Linked DNA regions of Alligator mississippiensis. The protein of the gene in region 2 interacts with the protein of the main gene of each other region in a pairwise test. Links are inferred from orthologs where the notes say so. Each region holds a gene or a part of one and is shown on either strand. Other genes may lie near its edges.

What was found.
Region 1: the proteins of SETDB2 (region 2) and ARL14EP interact in binary tests that used the Homo sapiens proteins (3 or more experiments, as listed by UniProt). The two-hybrid records come from large-scale screens. The link is inferred for Alligator mississippiensis from reciprocal best matches to the Homo sapiens genes SETDB2 and ARL14EP.

What each region holds. Positions count from the first base shown.
Region 1 is NC_081825.1:207,226,652-207,234,000, forward strand, and holds the start of ARL14EP (ARL14 effector protein), read right to left. Parts: upstream 3,007-7,349; 5' UTR 2,826-3,006; intron 2,338-2,825; 5' UTR 2,119-2,337; intron 1-2,118.
Region 2 is NC_081824.1:414,414,281-414,421,260, reverse strand, and holds the start of SETDB2 (histone-lysine N-methyltransferase SETDB2), read right to left. Parts: upstream 3,004-6,980; 5' UTR 2,759-3,003; intron 1,951-2,758; 5' UTR 1,678-1,950; coding exon 1,629-1,677; intron 1-1,628. UniProt on the Homo sapiens protein: Histone methyltransferase involved in left-right axis specification in early development and mitosis. Specifically trimethylates 'Lys-9' of histone H3 (H3K9me3).

The DNA of each region.
Region 1 (7,349 bases), on a different chromosome or scaffold from region 2:
CATATTTGTCCTAAAACACTGTACTATCAATTTATTGAAGTATTGGCCACTTGTACCCTAGAAGAAAGAACTCTAGAACTATTGGGGCTGTCACATCAGACAAAAAGATAACCACCCCAAAATTATAATCTTTCAGGAAGAGGAAAACTGAATATTTCATGAAACATCTAGACCAATATAAAAGAAAATGACACCAACTGTCTAAGACTCAATGATTTCCTGATATGAAACAGATAAGTTAATAGGTTCTCTTTTTTTTCTTTTTTTTTTACAAAAGGCTGTGTAAAGCCATTGTTTGGAGCTTTTGCAGCAGAAATCCCCTTGATTGTAATGCTTTAGAGTTTTCCTAAAAAAATAAGTGCATTTGAAATTTAGTTTCATAATTAGAATGTAATTATGACTATGCATGGCTGTTATAATTATGTCTTTTTATATACACAATAGCTTAGTGGTCTTTTGCATGACAGATGTTTCCAAAATCAAATTATTTGTGGGGGCACCATTTTTAGCGAGCATGAAAGCCATTTCCAGTGCAAAACTTCTAGCCAGTTCTGTACATAATTCCCTACTAGTTTCAAGACAGATTTATCCTATAGAGCAACAGCTTTTACTATTGTTTATTATTATATTCTATTATTCCTAACTCCTTATTTATTTAAATTCCATGAGATGTGCAGGATCCCCAGCAATAGTTTTGGATAGCATGGAAACAGTGACGAATATTACACCATACAGTACTGGTTCTCAGCCTTTTTGCATTCAGGGCACCCCTCTATAACATTTCTGAATTTGGTACCACCCTGGTTGAGAACCACTGTTCCACAGCCTAAGTTTATTTCAGTGGTTCTCAACGGGGGCTTTGCAACAGCAGCTGCAGCCATGGCCAAGTGGAACTGCCCAGATCAGAAAGTGGCTGTGGTAGGTGCATGAGCTCCTGCCTGCGTTAGGGTTATCTGGTGGACTTCATACAGACAGGAATGCCCACTTCTGCTGCAGTCCTTTCTGACATGACCACCCATGCTCCTCCCAGAAACAGAAGCACATGGGTAAGCCCCACCTGGCGTCTGGCAGCCTGGAGATTTATCCATGTGTTTTCTACGTTTCTCTCCAAGTTGCCATCACCAGGTGCAACTGCCTCATGCAGAGTAGAAAGGGAAGCAGAAGAAATGGATGTTCCCGCCTGCATTAGGTTTAAAATTCTCATCATTAAAGACCTTTGAATTAGGATTATCTGATAAACATAAGGCAAGCAGGAGAGTCTGCTCCTTCCCCAACCTCCTTCCCATCTGGCTCTCAGGCAGGATTTATTGACTACACTGGAGGAAACAGTCTACATGCAGAGAAATAACTGTTAAATGTCTGGAGTAAACTATATGTTGCCTCCCTTATATGTTAAGAATTTTAGCTTTTGAGCGAAAGCAAATGACATTCATGCTTACGGTGGTGCCGCTTTAAAGTGACCATAAACTCTTGGTTGTTTCTAGAACAGATATACAAAGGATACAAAAACTGTTCTTTTTTCTGTCTAATATTTTTACCACTAATATTTTTACTAACATTTGTCCACCATTTTGGTCTTCATTCCTTGATAGAGAGTGTATGCTACACTAATTATTTCCTTGAGTATTTTAAACTTCCTAATAACCGTTTGAGCTGCTTTATTATTATTTTTTTTTTTTTTTTTTTTTTTTTACCCCTAGGGGAACCTCTTTTCCAAATTCCTTTGGAGATTTCATATTACAAATTACATTTAAAGAAGAGACGGATAAATACCACACACTGAATCAAATCATTATGCAAATGTCCAATACTTATGCAGTAACTTTGACATTCACAAAAATATAACTTCAGGCTAGATATAACAAGCAGTATGTGGCTAAGATAACAGCACAGGCTTCGTACTAGGGGTGCTTTTGTTTCTTGTCTCCTTTCCAAATAAGTGAAATATTTCTGAATAACTCTTACTCCCCATACAGCACGTGAGCTGGGCAAAACAGAGAACTGAGATAATTTAAACAACTTTTCAAGCGTGCAGGTTTGTCAAAGGCTTGAATGCTCGGAAGGTGCACTCGAAATAAACGATTAAAACCACTCGCTATTCCCCTAAGCCAAGTTTACTTTGAGAAACTGTCAGCTTGTCAACTGCTGTCCTTGGCAGGCATCCATACTGGCGGCCGAGGGCATCACTTGCAGCGCCAGCTGCACTCATACTTTGAGGAAGCGCCTTCACTGCGCCCTTCCACAATCACACGTTTACAGGAAGCACGTTACAGTCCTCGCTCAACTGATTTATAGGCGCATCCTTGGCACAAACGCAGAAGCAGATGGCTTTTCAAGCTGGAGAGGGAAGAAATAGACACGGTTCTCTTTTTTTCCTCTTAGAGCAGCTTTCAGCTCAAACGGAGCGAATCGCAGGATTTCCCAGAGCGGAGTAGATGTGGGCTCCTCTTTTTTATTATAATTTTTTTTCTTTTTAAGATTTGCATTCGCAGGTGCGGCAGCTCCTAGTCGGCCCTGAGAAGCGTGAACAGACAGAGCGAGGCGCGGGCCCACGCGGGTGCTCGGCGAAGCGCTGGTGAGAGGCAAGGCTGGAGGCAGCGTTACTGGGGGGCGAGCACGCAGCTGCTGAAGAGGGACAGGAGGCGGCAGGGCATGGAGCAACAGCTCAGCGGGGCAGGCACAAGCGACAGCGGGCGAGCAGGCGAGACGTGACCCCGCCCGCTCCCCCCCCTCCCTCCGCCTTGACGTCACAGGGGACGCAGAGGGGGGAGGGGGAAGGGAGCTCCCAACCGCCACCCCTCCCCCACTCCCACCCTGCGCCGTACCTTGCCGTAGGCTTTCTTCCGCCCCTGCCCCGCGGCCCCGGAGCCGGACTCGCGCGTCCCCCCCACGACAGCCGCGGTGCTTGAAGCCGCCATTAAAACTTCGTCCCCCTTCCGGCTGCGGCCCACTGGCGAAGCATAGAGAGAGCGGAACCGCCAGCAGGGCTAGAGCATCGTTTCCGTTCCAGGGGGTGGAGCCAGAGCCGCGCTGACGTCACCAGTTGCCCGTGGGCTCCCTCCTGGGGGAAGCTGCGCGCGCAGCCCCCCTCTGCAATGAGGGTGGAGCCTACCGGGGCGGAGGGAAAGCTAGTCCGCTGCGCCTCGCCGTGGGCAGCGGTGGGAGGGGTGAAGGGTAGAGACTGTCCTACAGTTACATTCGATGCATGGAAAAACAAAACAAGTTTATATATTTTTCCATGTGTAAAACTGTAGTATTGGGGGAAGTCGTATTAAATGGAGGGTTGTCTTAGTTTTGAGTAACACCGTAACTAGTTAAGTCTCTAGTGGTGCCTCTTTAGTGGGTGTGTCTAGAGGAGCCGCTTAGCTTAATAACGCTGTGCAGTAGTGTGGTGGTTAAAAACCATGCAAATAGCATACTGTGCAGGGTTATTAGGCTCACGTGCAGGAAACATCACAAAATAACCATGGGCTACTAGTACTTTATTAAGCAAGTGCTAAACTAAACGTGCAGTATCTAAATGACCATGTAGATGTGCCTGGTTTCAAGCACATTTATGAGAAAGGAACATGGGTTCAGGGGAGTGTGTGCTCTCTCTGTATGTTATATAGCTAGTCTTTAAAGGTGCCTGTGTACCCTGCCATCTGCCAGACTGCAGGCTAACAAGTCTAACTACCTCTCCCTATTTTCTAAAATCATCAACTATGCGCACAGCTACAGCCATTTATGACTATTTGTTTTCTCTGTTATTCCTGATTGGGAGGTGCTTGAGCAGCAGTCCTAATTGCCGATGGAAGCTTCCAAGTTTAGTCCATGCAAATGTGGCCCTGTCGTGTAGAAAACCACCTTGTGCCTCAAATCAGCAATGATTAGAATGGAAAAACTACAGTGGGACTACTGTGGAGGGCTGCAGTGTGCTGTTGTCCCTTAAGCCAGTGTTTCCCAACCTTTTCCAGCCCAAGGCACACTTACATTAATAAAAATTTTCCATGGCACACCAGTTAAGGCATTCCCCATCCTCATACCTGTTGTAGCCCATTGCCATGGCAAAATTTCATGCCACATCTGTTCATTTTTGATGGCACACTTTTGTGCTGCACCACACTGGTTGGGAAACGCTGCATGAAACCACTGTTGTGCCCGGTACTCATAGCCTGTTGCAGGGTTAGAGAGGCTGCTGCTGTAATGTAGGCTCTGAAGGCCTGCCCAAATTACAGTATCCCAAATTAGAGGTGTACGCAAATTAGCTGTTAGGCATGACTGTAGTGCTGTCTGACCAGTGCGCTTTTAACACCCAGGCTTGTGAAGAGGTCCTTCAGAGGTAGCCTTCTGTTGTGCCTGCACTGAGGGAATCCATGTCTTGCTGCACCAACATTTTTATACTGTGAAGGGCTGGAGTAAGGCTGAAGATTTCACTCATAATATTGATTATACGTCTTCTTCGTCTTCTTTTGTATGGCTGATGGAGATATAGAACAGCTACTATAATTTTACATTTAGGTGGCTGAGCCAGAAAGTTGTGTCAGGAGCAGCAGAGTATATTGCTGTGATGCCTCCTTTATATCTGTGGATCAGACATTGAGTCGTTATATGTTCCATGGTCTGTTCTGAGTGACCACAGTCACGCAAGGGATAGTTTCTAATTTTCCATTTGTGTATCAAGTATCCACATCTCCTGTGTTTTGTACAGATATGGATTAGAGTTGCCCATAAGCGTCGTGGGAGATCAAGCCTGGACATTTAGCGTTGAATCTATCACAAGATGTTTATTTGGATCTTCCTGTGAATTCCATTTGGTTTTCCAAGCTTCATCAGCATTGAAGTCTTATTGTTGAAGTTTAGGCGCATGGATCCAGAAAGGCTTGTACAACTTTAGGCAATGGTGAGGTGCATTGTTGAGGTCCTGGTGGATGGGGAGACGTTTGTTTTCTTTAATTTGCTGGACAAATGGGTGGAGGATCTTATTATACTGATGAAATCCAACACTCAAGCTGAGAAGTATATAAAGAAATGTGTTGGTGGAAATATTAAATAAGGGCTCTGTCACAGTATGCAATGATACCCACAATGGCTACCTGAGGCATGGATCTTATTGTGAAATGTTAAACTCCCTTTTCATGTTTGTGGTGGCCAGTGGCAGATCCAGAGGGGATGCAGTAGCACAGATGCACTCCTCTTTCAGTTGGCATTGTGGGAGTAGCAGTCTGGGACTTCTTTACATTTCTGAAGCAAGTAAGAATTCTCCTCATCCCTTCTGTGCTCAGGGCCCCCTGTGCCCCACAATCCACCGGAGCTGTTGTCCATGGCTGCTTTGGGGCTGGGGTGGCTCCAGAACCACTCCTGCCCTGCTCTAGTCAAGCTTCGTGGGTAACCAGGCTCAGCTTGATACAGTAGCAATGGGCAGATTTCTCCTTCCTGCCCAATCCTCTGGGTGCTCCTTGCCAGTCTGGGAGTAGGCTCAGAGAAGGAGAACCCACCCATTACTGCTGTTGTCCCTGTCTGAGCCATGCTGTCCATGCAGCCTGATTGGACTGAGACAGGAGCAACTCTGGAACCTCTCCCAATTTAGTCAGGGGATGTGGAGAGGGGAGAGTGAGAGGGGAAGAGAAGTGCTGCTGAGCATGGAATGGAAGGGAAGGGACTGAGAGAGGGGAGGGAAGATTTTTACCAGATTGGGGGATTTAAATCTCATGGGGTAGTCCACCTGCCTTGGTTGGAGGATGAAGCCACACCTCCAGCACTGGTTGCTGCTTCTGCACCCCTTTACCAAAATCCTGGATCCACTTCTGGTGGTGGCAGATTCTATCCAAAAGAATGTAGTTTGGCAAAGAAAAAAAATTCAAAGCTGCATTTTCTGGTAACTATTCTTCATCCTAATTCAGGGGTGGGCAATTATTTCAGGTGGAGGTCCATATACTGAGTTTTGGCAAGCCATCAAGGGCCACATGACAGGCAGCCAGGGGCAGATAAATATTAATTTTCTAATTTTTTTAGGGGCCCCGTGGGCCAGATAGAATGGCTTGGTGGGCCGCATCTGCCCCACAGAGGGCACATTTTGCCCACCCCTCTCCTAAACTGAACTTTCAAGAATTGGAACCAACAAATAAGGCTAATTTGAAGTTTCTAGTCTTATTGTTTACCACTGTATGCTTAATTGCGTCATATCAGGAGAAAATAGGACTATATATCCTGCTGTAGAATATCAGTAAGAATAAATCACATAGCTGAAGAAAAGAAATTAATAAATTGATGCTAACACAGAACAGCAATAAAAATGTATTTAATTATGGGCAGTCCTTTCCTTACATAGCTTCTACATTTTAGGCAACATTTCCATTATTTCCAGGACTGGTTTATCTAACTAATTACCAAACACAAATGGTGAAGAGACTTTAGGATCTGATATACTGAGTTTGATTAATGTTTTGCCGATGTAAATCTTAAGTGAGGCCTACAGTATCTGACCTTAAAATACGTAGATATTTTGAGATATCACACACATAGATACGGATTAATGACTGAACATATTTGATAGACACTTGGCTTTTCAATGCTTTCTGTAATCAAGTCCAAAAATATATATTTATGAAATTTAAGGGACTCAACATGGTATAAATTCTATTTTCAATTACATGTGTAGAATCTCTCAAGGGATGTGTCTCTAGTGGGTTATGGAATAGAGAAAATCCCACACAATTTACTGATTTGTTTTGATGCACTGGCTGGGGGAGTAGTTAGTTGATTGCACGATTTCACAATGATTGCACACTTAATTCGTACAACACAATTTTATTTTAAAACTCTTTGCTATGTATATAACACTGCTTAGCTTAGAAATACCACAAACATTAAGAACACAATAACTACATATATCAGAAACAATGCTCCAAATGCACTTCCTTCCCAAACAATGCTGTAAGAATGAGTATTACAAAAACAACTGCAATTACAACTAAAAGTTAAATTTGAATCAATACTATTATTTTTCATAATATACTTACAATCCTAGAATTCCGAGAAGCCAAACACCTAAATACGGTTTCATTCCTCAGTAGTACAATTTAATGGGTTGGCCTCAGTAGTACAGTTCAATGGGTTCGCCTCAGCAATACGATTCAATGGGCTGGCCTCAATACTGATAGGACTAAGTCCACTTCTTTCAGTCCCTTTCGGGCACTCTGCAGCTTCAGCGTGAACTAAGAGATTCGTGTTCACGGAGAGGGTGGTTCAGGTGATCAATCTGATCCGGCCTACACTTGCGATTCTTCCTTCGTTGTTCTGCAAGTATAGTCACCTCCAAATTGGGAGAGTAAGTTACAGTTTTTATTGAGTGAGTTACTGTCAATGGG
Region 2 (6,980 bases):
TGAGTAACAGCTCCAGACAGAGTGAGACATGGTGAGGAGTCACATTAACACACACAGTTTTTGTAACTGCCTGTTTATTTTCTGGCAATCCCAGTAGAGTTGAATACTTGTATATGGTCAACCCTAGTTGATTAATTGCTTTGTGTTTAATGGATAATTCTGTAGTCAGTAAAGCTTCTGATGGATTATCAAACAAGTGCTGGTGATTAATGGCATAGTTCTCCTCACCCACAGAGAAGTAGGGCTTGAGTTTCAGCCCAACCAGAGTCCAGCAATGACCAGAAAGACCTTTAGCAGGGACTCAAATGTTTTCCTTTCTAAATCTGGGCACCACCAAAGGAGGAGGATGGGGTGGCACAGGCACTAAGGTGCACAGTTGACAGCCCAGAGATCGCAAGACTAGGGTCATAGCTAGTAGTGCACCGACATCAGTCTGATGTTGGATCAGCACCAACATAAAAAAAGTTGACTGTATCAGAAATCAGCCTGTTGTGGCTGATAAATGGCCCAAGCATATGCACGAAGCACAGCCTGGCAGCTTCAAGAGCTATGGCCAGCTGGTAAGTCTGTTGTGGTGGAAGGGGCGGGGGGGAGGCCAGATTAAGGCCCCCCACGGTGAGGGAGGAAGTGGGGCTGTGGCAAGTGCTGCCCAGCCAGGGCAGGGTGTGGAACGGAGCCGCTGCTCGTCCAGGGGATGTGGGGGTGGGAGGGCTCCTGCCACTCTGTGCACCCTGGGAGGCCAGATGAGCTGGATACCACTGCTCTAACATGGGTGTCCAATTTCAAAGAGAACGTTTACCATTAATACCTTGTCACACAAAGTTGAAAAAAGAAAGGACAACCAAAGGAAGGTTACATTTTTTCCTGATAAAATATTCTTCTGAACAATTTTTTCAGTTTTATGCACCTCAATGATAACTTAGCTGGAATAATTTAAATCAATTGGATTGGTCATGTTAGTTCTTATTAAAAAGCTTCTAATTTGTATATAATCATGATCTTACTTCAACTAACAAAACGATTATTGCATGCTACTAAGTGTATTTTTTTAGAAAAAATAATGCATAAACATTTTCAGACCAGTCCAACTCAATGTTTGTTTCTCACATTATTTTTTTACTAACCTATATAGTACCACAAGCATCCCTTCTTCCTTAGATATGGCTTATAGAAAGCTTTTTTGTTTAAAACAGAAAACCAATGATGAGTCCTTAGTCCCTCAACCTGCCTCTCCTGCAATGCTGATACTTGTCCTGCTGCCAAATTCTGAAGCCACGGTGAACCCCACAGGCCAGATCCAGAGCACAGAGCTGCATCATCTGGCCTGCAAAGCTTTCCACAGGGCTGGAAATTTGATGGCAGGAGAAGCAGCAGCTGCCAAGACCCTGAGAGTTGCAGCAATTAAGCACTAACACAACCACCGGCAAATTCAAGGCCCACAGGGCAGATGACATAGCTCCACACTCTGCATCCATGGGGCCAGATGAATCGGATACCACTGCTCTAGATGGGTGACCAGTTTCAAAGGGAAAGTTTATCATTCCTACCAGGTTCACTCTTAAAAATGTGATAAAATTCCCTTAAAAGAGCTAGCCGTCTCTTAAAATGCTGTATTTTTAAAAGCTTACTTTTAGTTTGTTCCATCCTTTGGAGTAGTTGTACACACGTATCATGCATCCAGAATTTAGTTAGAATATTAATGTTACTAAATCCAGGCTAATGAAGGAGAACAACATTATGGACTTGCTGCCCTATAACTGCACACCCCAATCTATTATATTGCTCTCCTACAGAGTTGCGGACAACATTTCCAGCGATGGCTAGTAATTTTAAACATCATGCATCTTCTCTCATCAGCAGTGCTTTATCGTTGTAATGTAAACTCTCCGAGATGCCGCTCTTCAACTCGCACAAGTACTTTTCATCCTTTGATCAAAGTAGTCCACTCCTCTAGAAATAAAAAATTTAAAAAAAGAGTTTGCATAGTATCCACTGGAACAAGATGTTACCAAAGAAGCTGCCAAGGCTGCAATGCTATAGCACAAACATTTTCTTTATTTTTGTTGATTTGATTAAAAATATTGAAAACAACTTTACAGCAATTGGCAAATGCTAGTAAGATCTGATGAAGTGAACTTCATCTCACAAAAGCATGTGCCAGACATATGCTTTGGTTAAATTTACAAGATGCAAATAAATCTTCTGAATCGAAAGGAATTTGAATACAAAGGATAAAGGGAGGAGGCACTAATGAGAGAGGTAGGCTGAATAAGTCTATAGGGATCAACAAGGCAGTTCACTCTTTGAGGACCACTGGGGCTATAAAAGCTTGTTCAGGCAACAGAAGAAAAATCCGTAGTCTCTGTTGAGACCCGGCTTCACCCCTCCCAGGCCCACGAGGCTGAAGGTGATTCCTTGTTCTGCAATTTAACATTCAGGTCATTTTTTAAAGCCAGCTGTTTACAAACTGCTGCTCCAAGGTCCCAGAAGGTTACAGTGCTTGGTGGCCGGCTGGTCAGGCCTTCGGCATCTGATGAAGTGAGTTACAGCATATGCTATACGTAGAATGTACAAACACACCTAATACATGCATACATATATGCAGATACACATATGTATGTATCAGCAAACATACACACAAGACTATAAAAGCATGTGCGTGTGTACACATATAACATGTATATGTATACATGCCTATACCATATTGACCTGAAAATAAAACAGCAGCCGCCCCATTCCCACCCCCGCCGCGCGGTACCTGTCACCGCCCGGAGCCTCCTGCACGGCGAAGCCCGGAGGGGAGAGAAGAAGCATTAAACCTTTCGAGGCCCAGCTCCACAACGCCCCAGACTCTTAACTAAACCCAGCCCGCCGCAACAAACCACCGAGAGCGCGCATGCGTATCACTGCAGCTTGCTAGTTAAGGGAAAGCATGTGCCCGGAGCAACAGCGCATGTGCAGAAGAAAGAAGGCGGGCTTTAGATGGGCGGAAATTGAAACGTGCTGCGCTGATTGGTCACGCGGCCAGCACTCCCTACCGGCGCGGGGAGGCCCCGCACGTTGCGTACAACAGGCGTAAGGGGCGGGGCAAGGAGATACGAGCCAATAGGCACCGAGAAAAGGCTCCTCGGCGTCCGCTCTCATTGGCCACAGTGGGTGTCTTGTCCAGAGCGCGTTCGCCAATGAAGTGAAGCGGCCGGAAGCGGAGCGGCCAGGAGCCGAGGTGCGGTACGTGGAGGAGAGGTAGGGCTGTTTGCCATGTTGGATAAGGGAAAGGGGTGGGGCTGGGGCTGGGGCTGGGGCGGGGCGGGGCGGGGCGCGCTGCCCTCACTCTGGTCGGAAGCACCGGCTCCGGGGTAGGACCACTGCCCGGGATGCCAACTGCAGCGCCCAGGGGCGGGACGGGGCGTGCGTTGCGCTGGGCGCTGCTCGGCCGCGGCCGGGGAGATCCGAGTCGCCATCCTCCTCCTCTCGCGGCGGCGGGAGGCCGGGGCTAACGGGACACACCGCCCCCAAGCGCGGGGCAGGGCCGCGGGGCAGCCCGGGCGGGGCGCGAACCGACAGACGCGTAGCCAGCGGCGTGCGGAGCTGTGTCGTGGGGAAGGGGCAGATCGAGGCCCCCGCGGCGGGGGGGAAGAGGGACAGTAGCCGGGGCGGGTTGTGGGATGCTCGGAGCTCAAGCGGCTTGTCCGTGGGCACAAGTCTGTACCAGTGCCCCTGCGCCCCTGGACGAGCCGCCCGAGCTCCGAGTGTCCCACGACCCGCCCCGGCCGCGGGGCCGCATTCAACCCTGTGTCTGGCCCACTCTCTCCCTCCCTGCAGGGGCTTTGATCTGCCCCCCATGCCCTTCCCCCCATGCCCTTCCCCATGACAGACCCACAAACTGGTGGGGGGGTGCATGCACACATAAACGTGTGCTCGACCCCCCCCTACCCCCCAAATATTTTCTCTGTCCTCCAATAGGTTTTTTCCCTTTTGGCTTGGTCACATAAAAAGTGACAATATCTTTATAGGCCTTCCAGTTTTCAACCTTTTTTGATTGTTGTACAACCTCCCAGGTGGCTAGACACAGAGCAGTGTACCCCTGGCTGCGGTGGAGTGTGCGTGGCTGGATGTCAGTGGGGGGGTGGCGTGTGGCTGGATGCAGAGTGGCAGCAGCCCCCACGTGCAAGCTTCCCCTGGCCACGCACCCCTGCGGGGTGGGGAAAGCTCAAACAGCGGCTGCCTGTGCGTACCGCTCGAGTACCCCCAGGGGTACACATACCCCTAGTTGACAACCCCTGTGCCAAGCTGTAGCTCTGTTAAGCCAAAGTGCTGGAAAGCAGCAGAAAGGGGTTGAGCTAGAAAGAAATACATAAAGCTGCTGTAACAAGCAGAAAGACCCCAAAAGAGCACAACAGCAGCAGTTGCATTAGTTAATATCTCACCTGAACAAGTGTAAGAGCAGATGTGTCAACTTGGCAAACAAAGGGTGCAAAGAGAAATGATGATTTTCCACCAGTCCGGCCACAGAAAGCAATTTATAGCCCTAACCAAACACAAGGGCATGGCTGCAAACAACTTAAAAGAAAGCCCATTGGGTGAAAATCTGATCTGTCATTGCATGAGGTGTCAGATAAAGATGTTACAGACTAGCATCTCTTGTGGCTTGTCTGCCCAGCTCCCAGCCTGTTGCTGTTTTCAGAATGGGAGGGAGGGGGAAAGGGGGCAGATGGAGTTCAGTCGGGGGGGGGGGGGGTTCAGCCCCCTTCCCCCACCATGGGGTGAGTGTATTTCAGCTCCCTTGAGGTGGAGGGGCTCCAGTTCACTCACCCTTCAGCACCAGCTAGGCAGCCCCATCCGCTGCCTCCCCCCTTCCCATTCTGGAAGGAGCACTGGCAGACAGACAGGGAGAGAGAGAGTCTGTTGCTATGGGAACCTGGCTGCAGGCTCGCAGGCCACAGCTAGATTCCCCTCCCCCTGGAACAAACTGAACTTCTGTTTGGTCTGGACTAACAGTGTAACTCTGAACACTTTGCAAAAATGGTTCTGAGTTACAGGTGGGAGCTGCAGTTCTGTCTGCCCCCCCCAAAATAATTAAGGGTGAATAATTAAGGGTAGACACAAGAGTCGTGATAGATGTCATCTACCTAGACTTTAAGAAGGCCTTTGATATGGTATCACATTCCATTCTCATAAATAAACTGACAGGCTGTGATGTAGATGATTGCATGGTCAGGTGGGTAGCAAATTGGCTTAGGGGTTGCACACAGAGTGGTGGTGGACAGGTCGATATTGACCTGGAAAGATGTAGGCAGTGGAGTCCCACAAGGCTCAGTCCTTGGACCGGTTATTCAATGTCTTAATCAGTGATTTGCACAAGGGTGTAGAGAGCACCCTGTCCAAGTTCACAGATGGTACCAAATTATGGGGCAAAGTTAACACACCAGAGGGTAGGGAATGCATCCAGGCAGATCTGGACAGGTTGGAAAAATGGGCAGAACAAAATAGGATGCAGTTCAACGAAGACAAGTGCAAAGTGCTGCACCTGGGCAAAAAGAACCACCAACACACTTGCAGGCTGGAGGATGACCTCAGCAGCACAGCAGTGGAAAAGAATCTTGGAGTCGTAGCTGACTCCAAGATGAACATGAGTTGTCAGTGTGATAAAGTGATCAATAAAGCTAACCGTGCTTTATCATGCATTAGCAGATGCATGACAAACAGGCCCAGGGAAATGATGCTTCCCCTCTATGCAGCACTGGTCAGGCCACAGTTGAAGTATTGCATCCAGTTTTGGGTGCTGCACTTCAAGAGGGATGTGGAGAATCTTGAGAGGGTTCAGAGGAGGGCCACTCATATGGTCAGAAGCCTGCAGGCAAGGCCCTATGAGGAGAGATTGAGGGACCTAGATCTCTTCAGTCTTTGCAAGAGAAGGCTCAGAGGTTATCTTGTGGCTGCCTATACATTCATCAGGGGAGGGCAGCAGGGACTAGGAGGTGCTCTATTTTCACCCCCTGGAGTAACTAGGAATAGTGGCCACAAGTTGACGGAGAGCAGATTTAGGTTGGTCATTAGGAAGAACTTCACAGTAAGGATTGCCAGAATCTGGAATGGGCTTCCAAGGGAGATGGTGCTCTCCCCTACCTTGAGGGTCTTCAAGAGGAGACTGGACAAGCATCTAGCTGGAGTCTTCTGACCCCAGCGCTCTTTCCTGCCCAGGGCAGGGTGGGGTCAGACTTGATGACCTACTGAGGGTTCCTTTGGACCCTAATGTCTATGAATCTCAACAGAGAGGGAGAGAAAAGAGTGGGCATGACATGGGGGTGGGGGAAGAAGACACAAGTATAAATATAGGAGTTGAGAGGCATTCCTTGTAGAAAGACCTAGGGGTGCATGAATAACGTATGGGGTCTCTACCAGTCTGCTTCTCCAGATTGGACTAGCGGTTAATCAGACCAGCTGGTGTTCTGTCTGACAACAAACGTTTCTGAGCTTTTGCTACCAAGCATGCATCTGAGTTGTGTTTTCTACATCACTTATGGGATCTGGAAGCCGGATTGCTAGTGTCAGCCTTCCACAGCACACAGGCTCCAGCAACCCATAAAGTTACAGCAACCAGATACTGCCTGAGAAAATGCTCTGTACATCTCAAAACAGTTGAGCATTTTTTTTTTTTTTTTTTTTAAAGCTTTCCCGTCAACAGTGACATCTGACAAAGTTAGGTTTTTGGCTAAAACCTGGCTGAAGTCTGCTTCTTATCCCATGATTTTAATGTACAGGGAAAGGTGGAGGCATTTTTGGCATCACTTCCTTGTCTTTGCTGGAGATGCATCAATTGATGCATGCCAGAGTATTATTTGTCCTACTGGCTACAGCATCTGCTGGCTCATCGCACTGCCAGCTCATACTCATACTGTGGTCTATTATTACCCCCAGGTTCCTTTCATTTGTGGTGCTAGATAGTTTGGTGCCACCAAGCCTGTAGGTGTGTTGGGGGT